Oryctolagus cuniculus: one gene and its partners. The protein of the gene in region 3 interacts with the protein of the main gene of each other region in a pairwise test. Links are inferred from orthologs where the notes say so. Each region holds a gene or a part of one and is shown on either strand. Other genes may lie near its edges. The genes, in order: POM121, HOXC9 and LPXN.

Region 1 (2,878 bases), on a different chromosome or scaffold from region 3:
TGGTCTCAACAAGCTGGAGGAATGTAGGAGCCGGGGTGCAGGGAGGGCGCGGTGTGCAGCACCGTGGGGCCTGGGGTTCGGACACGTGGCAGGCTGGGCAGAGGAGCAGATTCAGGCAGCGAGGTCGAGAGACCACACAGTAAGGCCATCAACACTGGTGACAGATGAGGACAGGGAACCGCGTGGCGGTTACCAGGTGAACCGGCAAGGACACGGAGCTGATGAGGATGGGGGGGGTGGAAACAGCATTGGGGAGCAGGCAGACGCCCCCACACACACCTTGGGCCCTGAGTCGTGAGCACCAGAAAGCCTGGCCTGCCTTGGAGAGGGCAGGTACCGTGAGGACAGCCGTGGGCCACAGCGGTGGGTTTTGTGGGGATGCTAACGAGGATTAGTCCTGGTGGAAGCTGGGACCTGCTGAGTGCTGTGCTGTGCGGTGGCAGCCGAGGGGACAGGGACCGACCCCACTCTGCAGCTGCACAGAACTCTGAGGAAGCCGGGGCGGTGCCCGCTGCCCCCGCGGCTCCACAGTGCTCTGCCATCTGCTTCTAGGCACCTCCACGCCCACCTTTGGTCAGAACGCCTCTGCCCCCGGAGTGGGCGCGTCGGGCAGCAGCCTGTCCTTCGGGGCGTCCTCCACGCCCACCCAGGGCTTCGTCGGCGTGGGAGCTTTCGGTAAGCAGCAGTGGGCTTGGCTTCCAGGCTCTCGCGATGGGCGCCCCACCCCTGCCTGCGCGCTGGAGGTGAGGAACCCGGGCACCGGCCATCCTGATATGTCATTGACTCTTTCCAGGGTCGGCGGCCCCTTCCTTCTCCATTGGTGCGGGATCTAAAACCCCAGGGGCCCGACAGCGACTGCAGGCCCGAAGGCAGCACACTCGCAAGAAGTAGCCTCGGTCTCCTGCCTGTCTCCCACCTCCCCCCCACCCCACCCCCGTCCCACCCGGCACCCAGGCCCGGACTCTGCCTGCCAGGAAGAGCCTCTGACCCTTGGAGTTGATTGAGTAAACTTCTCCCAGACCTCCGGCCTCGGCCGCCAGCAGGGAGGGGCAGCGGCGGGGGCTGGCCCTTGACTTGAACAGTCGCCCTGGTGAGCCCCTGCCTCCCGCCTCCCCCGGGAGCCCCGTGCACACTGGACGGGACTGGGAGCGGGCTGCCTGAAGCTTGACCTTGCCTGGCTGGGCTGGAGGAAGTGGCTCCCCCGCGGGCCCCCGAGGGGACCCTCTCTCCCTGTTTCTCGCTGCTCTGTTCCTCGCAGGATTTTCCCTCTTGAATGACCTTGAATCTAGCTTTGCCTTGGAGCCCCCAGAGGGTGCCGCTCCCGCTGCCCCGTCCCCTCCTGCCAGGTCACTCAGTGTTTTCGTCTCCCCCTAAGAGCTCGGCGGCTGAAGACTGTTAGCCTGGCAGATCGGGGGGGAGACGCCGCGCCCACCTCCGGGCTGTGTCTGCCTCTCGGGGATTGTACGTTCTAAGCCTTGTCCTGTGTCACTAGTCCGATGCGCGTGTCTATCGCTCTTTGAACCGAGTTTGGAGGAAGAATCAAATCGTATGAGTGGCGGCATGTTGGTAGTGCCGGACTTGTTTCCCGACTGTCCTGGGGCCTCGCTAATTGAACGTGGCGGTAACACCGCTTCACGGCCACGCGTGCTGACTCCTGAATTCTCCAGTGGTGTTCTCACTCTAAGGGCTGGCAGCCCACGAGGATGGGCCGGGGGAAGCAGAGCCCTCCATGGAGGCAGGCACCCCCGTCCGCGTCAGGAGACCTGACGTGATGGCCCACGACCCAAGGTGACCTGGCCGCTCTTCCCACACAGGTGCCCCAACACCGCCCCTCCCCCAGGCCCAGGCGCCTTGCTGCCAGCCCAGCCTCTTTGGGAGAAGTGTGAATGCGTGTGTCTAAATTAAAAAAATATTTAAACATTTTTTAACAAAATAAAAATTTATTTTTGTATTTAAGCTAAATTGCCTTTTAAATTCCTTCAAGCTTGGTTCACTGAGGTGGTTAAGTGTAAATGCTGACTAGGAGTAGCGTAGTGAGTTCTGCCTGTGCGTGGCCCGGGCCGCTCCTGGGGCTGTTTTAGGAACAATGTGATGTAGGCGTGACCCCCCCCCCACCCCGCCTGCAGGTGTCGCGCCCGGCCACTTTACCTCAGCTGCACCTGCACAGGCAGGCCAGCGGCCAGGGGCCCCTGCAGGGCCCGAGTGAGTGAGAGGGTGAGTGGATGGCGTGCGCCGGCAGGGGCTTCCCGTTACGGACACACGGATGTAATTCCTGTTGAGTCTAGTTGGAATTTTTAGTATGAATGTGAGATTTTTCTCCTTGCTTATGTCATTAAGAATAAAAAACTGTGATCGATCTCAGGCCCTGTCCTGCCTTTTCTTTCCCGGGGACAGCCACCGGGTCCAGCCGCTGGGGGACAGCACAGCCGCTGCTACGGCCCCGGTGCGGCGCAGGGGTCACCTGCCGCTTTCCGCCGTCTCTTCTTCCTCTTGGGGCCTGGGCTGAGTGGTTCCGGGGGCGACGCTGTGGCCTGGGAGGCTGAGCTAGAAGAAACGGCCCCAAGTTACGTGTGCCCCCCACCCCATCCAGCATCCTCCCGGCAGGCCCCATCCCCTACCCACGCCCTCACCTGGGTACTTGCACCCTTTCGAAGACAGCAACGAAGAAGCCGCCGGTGAGGGTGGTCTCGGGGGAGGCCCGGAGGCAGTGTTCAGCACCTGGGAAAGTGCCGAGGCCTCGGTGGGGCCAGGCAGGGAGCACAGGAGCGAGCCTGCGGAGAGCAGCGGCTCAGGCCCGGGCGGGGGGGGTGGCGCAGGCCGGGGCGGGGCAAGGGCCCGGAGGGAGGGGGCGCAGGCCGGGGCGGGGGCGACAGAGCCC
Region 2 (4,335 bases), on a different chromosome or scaffold from region 3:
GGGTCTCTCCGCACCTCCTCCCTGCTGGGTAGAACTAACTCTAAAACACCAATTTCTCAACACTGAGCCCTCCCATATCGCAGAGTTCTCCTCTTCCCCTTCCTCTTTTTTTTTTTTTTTTAAGTTGATTGGCTTTTCTCTATCTTGCTCTTTCCTTTTCTTTTTCCGTGCTTTCTCCCGCCTGCATGGGGATATTTCTGCGGGTTTTGTTTTGTTTTGTTTTGCTTTGTTGTTTTGTTTTTGTTTTGCTTTTTCCAGGCTGGGGCAGGGTTTACGATTGCTCCTTGTCGGTTTTCTCTTTATTCATCTTTTTCATCTTCATCCTCCGGTTCTGAAACCAGATTTTGACCTGCCGCTCGGTGAGATTGAGAACCCGGGCCACCTCGTACCGACGGTCCCTGGTTAAATACATATTGAAGAGAAATTCCTTCTCCAGTTCCAGCGTCTGGTACTTGGTGTAGGGGCAGCGCTTCTTCCTCGTGGAGCGGGCATGGATCCAGTTGGCTACGGGGTTGCCTGGAGGGCCAAACACAGACAGGGGTCAGCGGAGCCCCCTCTGTAGCCTAGGACCTGTGCCTCCCCACCCCCAGGCTTAGCCAGGCTCCCCAAACCCAAGAATTGAACCTGAATTTGGACACGTTTTGCTGTAGGAATCTTCCCCCCTTCCTCCTCCTTCATTCTGCCCCCCCCTTCTCCCCCCTTTTCAGTTTCCTAAAACTGTAGGAAATCCGAAGCTATTCAAAGCCCCTACAGTCTGGTCCTCTCAGCTTCAAGAGTAGTAATTCGAGAATATCCTCATAAAAAGTCCAAATTCCCAACCGCTTCATAGGCCCATAAACGCTTCTCTCTCTTGTTTTTTATTTTTATAGCGAGGTCCCCCTCCTCCCCACCTCCCTCCTCCTCTGCCCCCTCCCACCCTCCCAGCCCACCACCAAGTCCTGAGGTTTCAGTAGCTCTGCTTCCTGGCCCTGAGAGTCCCCCCAAGCCCCCACCCCACCCCATGCACCCTCTCCAGCTCCAGCGCCGCTCGCTCTGGGTGCAACCCTGCTGAGGCGAAATCTCAGGGTACTGTTGCCTCTCCCCAGAGAGCTGTTGCTGGCCTTGGGGAGGGCATCCCCCTGCCCAGATCTCAGCTCTCCTGCTGGCCTCCAGTGCCCCCCTCCTGCCAACCCCAGGACAGGCTCTGTGGGAGCCAAGCCTCCAATTTCAGGTTTCTGGGAGTAGCTGAGGGCAGGGATGGAAGGCTTCAGAGAGAAAGAATTAGGCCCTGGCCCCTCAGGACTCCCCCAAGTACTTCCTCACACCCAGGGGGCTGCAGCTTGCCCCTGCTGCTTCGCCTTCCCTCTTTCTCTGACCCTGGGGCTCCCACCTGCCCCCCACCTACGCTAGCCAAGCCCCCTCCTCTGCCACACTCAGGGGGTTCCACTCTCCCTGGCTGGGCTGGGAGTGAGTCCCCAGCATGGGGCATGGGTTCCTGACCCCTCTTCATCCCTGAGCCCCCATCCTGCAGTCTTCCTCCTTGCAGACAGACCTTCAGAAGAGGGCTCTCAAGTTTAAGGAGGCTCGGACCACCCCACTTCTCTCTTTGCAAGTCCTGAGCTCTCCAAGTTCCCAGGTTGGGAACTGTCCCAGCCTCCCTGGGGGAGCAGTCCAGAGACCTTTCCTGTGCTGTGGCTCTCTCCTTAGGGGGGGAAGACCCCCAGGCTGACTGCCAGGTGTAGGGGGGTGGCTTTTCTCTCTGGGGTATTTCCTCTCTCCTCACCTCTGTGCCCAATCCCATCTCAAAGCCCCAAAATAAACCTCGCCCCCCGCCCCAGTGCTCCCCTGGCTCTGTAATGCATTTCTTCTTCGAAAGTGGAGAACTGAGCCAGAAAGCCTAGGCTGAGGCTGGGTGGTGGTGGTGGAGAACAGGGGTCTCGCTCATCAAAGTCAGCTCCTGCTCGAGGAGCCCCCCCAGGCCCTCTCTCTCCTAACCTGGCTCCCTGGGCCCCCTCCTCAGATCTTCCTGCCCCTGCCCAGCTCCCTAAGGTAATTCGCTTTTATTGAGTCCTCGCCCCCTCGCCCTCGCCCCTCTCCCGCGCTCCCTGCGCCGCTGCGAGGGGCTGTAATCCGGCTACCCCCCCACCCCCGCCCGCGCCGGTTGTAAAGGGAAATTGCGCCCAACTTACTGGGGTCCAGGTCGGTCTTCTCTTCTTTGTGCTTGCTGCCGGCGAGGGCGTCCGCCTCGGGCGAGGGCAGTGTCTGCGGGGCGCGGTCGCGCAGCTCCCCGGGCGAGCCGTACATGTAGTCCGGGTAGCTGCGGCCGTCGGCCGGGCCGCAGTCGGCGCGGCGCCCGGGGTAGGCGTCCGGCTTGAGGGCGTAGTGACGGCCCCCGGCCGGGAAGCTGGGGAAGGAGACGGCGCCGGACAGCGGCTCGAGCCAAGTCCGCATGTAGCGCGTGTCGGCGCCGAGGTGGGGCTGGGGGCCGTACGGGTGATAGACCACGGACGACTGCGAGGGCACGGGCGCCCACGACGTGCTGAACACGGCCGGCTTGGGCGCGAAGCTACAGGACGGAAAATCGCTACAGTCCGGCACCAGCCCGCTGGGTCTGGCGGCGGCGGGGTGAGCCCCGGTGGCCGGAAACCTGGACGCTAGGAGGTCTTCATTGTCGTGCGAAATGAGCGAGTCCACGTAATAGTTACTGATGGGCCCCGTCGCCGACATCGTAACAGGGTTTTACATACATAAGATTATTGTATGAACTGTATATGTACTTTTTATCTGCTCACAGAACAATCAAGGCAGGTAATTATTTTTCCAGCCTTTTCCCCGCAGCTCATTGGCTCCCCGGCCCCCACGTGATCGTATTTACCCAAAAATACGGCGCGGATCAATGCGCAGGGGCTTTTTTTTTCCCTTGCTTTTTTTCTCACCCCCCCCTCCCACCCTCTTCTCTCTGCTGATCCCCGCGACCCGCGTTTTCCTGGGGGTCCGCAACTCCGGACCCCAGGCGCCGGCCCTCCGCTCAGGACGGCTGAGACCTCGCCACAGGACGCCCCTTGCCCATGTCCACCCATAAGCAGATGGCCTCCCCCGCCCCAACAGCGTGAGGATTTGGGGGGGAACGCGGGGGGGACCGCCCGCCCCCACCGCTTCCCCGAGGCCCGGCTTGCGGGACCCCCGGGGCCGGGCGGGCGCGGGAGCCCGCAGGGGCGGGGAGCCGGCCGAGGTAGGTGGAGGAACTATTTCTTGACGTAATCCGTCTCTGTCGGCCCCGACGCGCCCGCAGCCTCTGCGCGAGCCGAGCCCAGCGATTGTCAGCTCGGAACGTGGCTTTTTAAAAATGCGATTTTAAATAGTGTGTCTGTATGTATTTCTCTCAGGAGCCGCGGCAGCAGCGAGGGAGGGCGGGTGGGAGGGGACTGGAGGAAGGGAAGGAGGGACCGGGGAGCGCCCTCCTGCCACTGGCCGGCTCAGCCCCCCAAATCTGGGCCAGGGGAAGCGGGGGAAGGTGGCCCGGCGGTGGGAGGGGTGCAACTTCGGGCTCGCAGGCCCCTCCGTCATCAGCCTCGGAAGTCTTCTCTTTGCGTTGGCACGGAGAGCACAAGCGCCTTTATTTTAAATTTATTGTCTGTATCTATTTACGTTTCTTTGCCAGCTTGAAGAAGTGGAGGAGAGACCTGCACAACTTAAGTGGGGAGCGTTCGCATCCCGTCTTCCTGCTCAGCCCGCCTCTGCCCCCAGCTCCAGCTCTGCGACACAACCCCCCACCCCCAAAAAAAGAAGTCACTCCCGGGGCTCTGCCTGCAGAGAGCCAGGGTGAGAGCGGGCGAGGCGAGAGAGCGACCTCGGTCGTGGGCAAGTAGCTTGTTTTTACGTCCTTCAATAAAATTTTTATGAGGATCATTTGATTGTTCATAAATGTGTCTTTCATTAAATAAAATTGTAGGCTGTTTTTGGAACGGGAAAAAAGCAACGGAGGGGAGGGAGGAAGCAGGTTTTTGGGGGTCGGATGCAGGGATTCTGGAGGGGCGGCCATGATCGCAGGGAGAGCATCAGACAACTTAGATTGCTCCCCCATAAGTTGGGCTGCTACCCTGCTCCTTGAATTTGGGGTTCTTTGCCCAGTCCTCTGCTTCCCATCAGACTGTCCCCGGGTGGCTCAGTCAAGGGGGGTGGGGTGGGCTTCAGGCAAGCAGGAAATGGCCAGTGTGGGTGCAGGATAGTGGACAGGGGTGTTGGGGGGGAGGATAGGGGCAGGTGACGGCCCCACAGATACAGTGCGCCTAGATACGGCAGAGGGCATTTGAAGGAGGGGTGCAGGGTCGGGGTCAGAAGGGAAGGGTCTCAGAC
Region 3 (4,233 bases):
TTCGAGACCTGGCTGCTCCATTTCCAGTCCCGCTCTCTGCTATGGCCTGGGAAAGCAGTAGAAGATGGCCCCAAGTCCTTGGGCCCCTGCACCCATGTGGGAGACCCAGAAGAAGCTCCTGGATCCTGGCTTTGGATTGACCCAGCTCCAGCTGTTGCGGCCATCTGGGGAATAAACAAGCAGATGGAAGACTACCCCCACCCCACCTCACCTCTGCCTCTCTGTAACTCTGCCTTTCGAAATAAATAATTATTTAAAATAAATAAAAGTAGAGCCTCTTTTCTATTTTCTAAGCTTACCTCCAATCAGAAATCAAAGATCCTCCTGGATTAATAAAAATTCATATACAATAGAGATTATAGGAACAAGGAGAGCACACCACTGAGGGTAGGGAGCTACCCTTAAAAGCACCAGCTAATCAAACTTATTCAAGCTGGCCTTCTGGGTCATGAGTTAGCAGGCATTCTTCTTCCTGCTTCCTGTGCATGTATGTATCACCAACACCCGGAGATTAGGCCTTTGGCCAATTTATGTAATTTGAGGATGACTAATTTCAGTATGACAAATGCAGGATTATGTGTGTGGGGGGGGTGCTGGGAGATAGGGAAGTACTAATCTGAAAACTTTATCTATATAATCTTTTACTTGTGGAAATCAAATAATACCACACATAAACTAGAGAAAAGTAAAGTAGGGTTTTTTGAGGTGGGACATGGTCTCCACAAGTTGTGATTTGGAGCCAGTGCCTGCTCCTGGTTCCTTTTTCGCCTATCATCCCTGTGGACTGGGTAGATAGATACAAGCTACCAACCTCCCAGGCAGTACTGTACAGAGGAAATGTTTTGTCTGAGCCATTGTGTCTGTTACTGTTTCCCTGCAGACTGGAAGAAAACCCACCTCAAATCTTGACGGTTACTGATGGGCTGATGATAGTTGGAAGAAACTGCTAAGGTGAAGCTACCAACAGCGTGCTGAGTTGCAGCTAATAGTAGTACAACTAACACAAATGTTAGCTTCCAGGATGCTTTAATGCTTTCTACATTGTTGGGCAGTACTTTTTTTTTTTTTTTTTTTTTTTTTTTTTTACCATCCAAACTGCTCAGAAAATACCAACCAACACAATTTTTAAAATCTGAGTTATCACATTAGTTAGAACGCTTGCAATGACACTTCTAAAATAGAAGAGATGGCATTCAGCCTACTGGTTAAGCCTCCACGTGGGATGCCAGCATCTGTATCAGAGATCTTAAGTTTAAGTCCCAGCTCAGTTCCCCCAATTTCGGTTTTCTGCTAATATGCACTGGGGGAGCCAGCAGGTGATGGCTCAAGTAGTTGGGTTCCTGCCACCCACATAGGAAACTTGGATTGAGCCTGGGAGATAAACCAGAGATTGGGAGCTCTGTCTGTCTGTCTGCCTGTGTCTCTCAAATAAAAAGTAAAATAAAATAGAACTCTTAGAATAATGGATTTTGGTGCTCCTTACAGTAATATTGAACAAGCTTTGTTTTTCTTAGTTTACTCATCTGAGTGAAGTGGGTAATACTTACTTCAGAGGGTTGCTGCAGACACTGGAAATAGTTAACAAATGTGAAAATGTCAGTTTTGGCCTAAGTCACTGAATAAATATCGGTTCCCTTTTTGAACTGTCTACATGAAATTAGGTATCCTTAAAATTATATTTAAAAATCTGCACATACAGAAATTCAAATTCTCCCAACACTCACACAGCCTAAGAATTTGGATTCTAAATCAAGTCCTAAACTAGTCTACCCTAGTATCAATGTATTGGTAGGTAGACTTTGCTTCCAAAACAGTTCAATACTTATTAAACACCTCCTTTTTTCTCTTAAGTAACATCTCTTCTCTCCAGTTACTTGCCCTTCTTCCTGTTTCTTCAGCTCTTAAATCAATTTAACTCCAATTTTTTTAAAAAAAATACAATTGCAAGCTGTGGTTTTTGTTGTTTGCACTTTTGATACATCTCAACCATGCACAAGCACAGGAGACCATGCAATCAGCAGAGCTGAGAAATTGGGTAAAGGTTATTTTTGGTTAGGATGCCAGAAACAAAAGTTGGCAGAGTCTATGGAATGAGTCCCAACAATGAGAGACATAATTCTCCAAAGGTTTGAAATAAGGTTTCTCTCTAGGTAACATGACTGATGGCTCTGCTGGTGGTTTTAATTGCCTTGAAGTGCAAAGAAGCATTATATTGTCATGCCACAGTAATCCGTCCTTTTAGAATTTCTCTGAATAAAAAGCTTAGCAACAAAACTCATTGGAGTTACGCCACTATATCTTTTTGATTTAATACTAAATCACAAAAAACTGAAGCCACACTGATCTTTCTCCAACCTCTGCAGATCCCTTTCTCGAATGTCTATTCCATGTCTCCGCCTTGTGACACATTTGCCAATCCCTGACTCCTTTTTTTCACCCAGATCCCGGTTGTCGTTGCCCAGCTGTGTGGCCAACCTAGTATCTCCAGGAGCCCTCAAAGAAGAATATGCCCATAATAAAATGATAATTTTGAAGTGATTCAGTCCAAAGGTATTTGTCTGGAGTATACTTTGTGGTTACCACAGAATTCTCTGCCTATTGTGCCACTACAAAGAGTAAACCCAAAATGTTCCCAATCATAGTTCCTCAGTTCCCTCTTGGTTGAGCAGAGGACAAAAGTGAAAATAAAATCTTCCAACATCTCCCTCAAACAACTAGAAGTATACCCCCGCACATAGAGATGGTGGCTGCTGCTTCATTCCCTCTGTTTCTCCCAAGAAGCTCCTCACTCACCCAATTCCTCCATGGCCCCACACCCAGGATGCTCCGGTCTCACCAGTTGTGAAGAAGAACTGCTTTTGGCATGTGCTGAACAGAAGACCGCAAAGGAACTGAACAAGACAACGTAATGCAGCCTTTATAACCCTTTTTGGTTACTGTATTTGCTTAGCACTTCCTCTCTTTTGATTTGGTGCATTTCTTCTTCTTCTACTTTTTAAGTAGGTCACAGTTTTTAAAAGGAGACTGACTTTGAAAGGCAGGTTGTTAAGATTTAAGTTCTGGCAGTGCATTGGCTATGGTGATAAAGATCCAAAATTAATTTTTCAAAACTTGAGCACCTACTATATGCTGGGATTCATCTTGAATTCATGGGAATAGCCCATTCACACATGTGGTTTTCTTCCAAAGGTACATGTCCCATTGTGCCTGGGCTTCTGCCTTATTTTTTTCCTTCTGTGAACCTAGGGGACCATTGAGGCGAATCCCTTTTAAAATTTCCATAGCAGTTAACTAGCTCCCAGCTACTTTTGCAGTCTGTATTTGCTTAGTTATTCAGAAATTATGCTTACCTGTTTTCCTAGACAGACAGACTGAAAATCCATTAAAAGCAAGGCATAAATGGGTTCATGTTTGGATCTCAGGGGCTGACTGAGCGGATTCAAATGCAAACATCTACAAGGGGCATGAAGAAGGAAACTGGAAAGTTTTAAGATATCGCGCGTGCTTAAACTGCAAATATCTCAGCTGGGCCTAGTTACACAGCTGTGTAGCAGTGTCGGAAAAATACAAGAAATTAACTCTTCACCATTTTTACTCCTGTGACTTCATCTACCTTAAATGAAATAAAACATTACAAAAAGCCTACTTTGAGAAGGTAGTATGTAAACAGCTTTAATTGTAGCTCTGTTAAATATATTTTATCCCATTTCCCCAGTGGTGAAATAGGTTTGTGGAATCGTACTAAAATAACAGAATGTATCATTCTTCTACAACACTGGGGTCTTTTAAAAAAAAAACCAATAATCCATTTATCACTGTATGACTTAAAAAATTCTCTGTATTACTTTAAGCAGCCATTGGATGTCAGTGCTGTTCTAAAAGTCTGCTCACCGAGAAAGCGGTCGGGAAACACTGCCAGGGACGCTGGGCTAGACAATTTTTACAACTGGAAATGACCTTACGGAAATGAAAAAATGTCCCCAAATACTCAATACCAACATAATTTTTTAGCCTAACGTGGTAACTGAGTCAACACATGGGAAGGAAAACGTCCTTCGGCACTCGTCTACGGTTTAACTGAATGATTCATGTGGAACTTAGAACGGGAACCCCGGATCTTGTTTCCGTCCTCTTTCCTGTGGGGCTTCTACCCTCGGAACCCGGAGGCTTTCGTTTTCAAGGGTGAAGCGCTCAGCTCGCCCCTCGCCGGCTGCACCACCCACTGACTTGCAC

Evidence for each region.
Region 1: the proteins of LPXN (region 3) and POM121 interact in binary tests that used the Homo sapiens proteins (3 or more experiments, as listed by UniProt). The two-hybrid records come from large-scale screens. The link is inferred for Oryctolagus cuniculus from reciprocal best matches to the Homo sapiens genes LPXN and POM121.
Region 2: the proteins of LPXN (region 3) and HOXC9 interact in binary tests that used the Homo sapiens proteins (3 or more experiments, as listed by UniProt). The two-hybrid records come from large-scale screens. The link is inferred for Oryctolagus cuniculus from reciprocal best matches to the Homo sapiens genes LPXN and HOXC9.

Annotation. Positions count from the first base shown.
Region 1 is NC_091450.1:50,656,952-50,659,829, reverse strand, and holds the end of POM121 (nuclear envelope pore membrane protein POM 121), read left to right. Parts: intron 1-552; coding exon 553-675; intron 676-793; coding exon 794-891; 3' UTR 892-2,361; downstream 2,362-2,878. Other genes in the region: NSUN5 (28S rRNA (cytosine-C(5))-methyltransferase), read right to left, coding at 2,433-2,544, 2,631-2,771. UniProt on the Homo sapiens protein: Essential component of the nuclear pore complex (NPC). The repeat-containing domain may be involved in anchoring components of the pore complex to the pore membrane. When overexpressed in cells induces the formation of cytoplasmic annulate lamellae (AL).
Region 2 is NC_091442.1:56,963,083-56,967,417, reverse strand, and holds the start of HOXC9 (homeobox protein Hox-C9), read right to left. Parts: upstream 2,860-4,335; 5' UTR 2,707-2,859; coding exon 2,169-2,706; intron 517-2,168; coding exon 272-516; 3' UTR 1-271. UniProt on the Homo sapiens protein: Sequence-specific transcription factor which is part of a developmental regulatory system that provides cells with specific positional identities on the anterior-posterior axis.
Region 3 is NC_091432.1:13,564,792-13,569,024, reverse strand, and holds the start of LPXN (leupaxin), read right to left. Parts: upstream 2,871-4,233; 5' UTR 2,807-2,870; coding exon 2,794-2,806; intron 1-2,793. UniProt on the Homo sapiens protein: Transcriptional coactivator for androgen receptor (AR) and serum response factor (SRF). Contributes to the regulation of cell adhesion, spreading and cell migration and acts as a negative regulator in integrin-mediated cell adhesion events.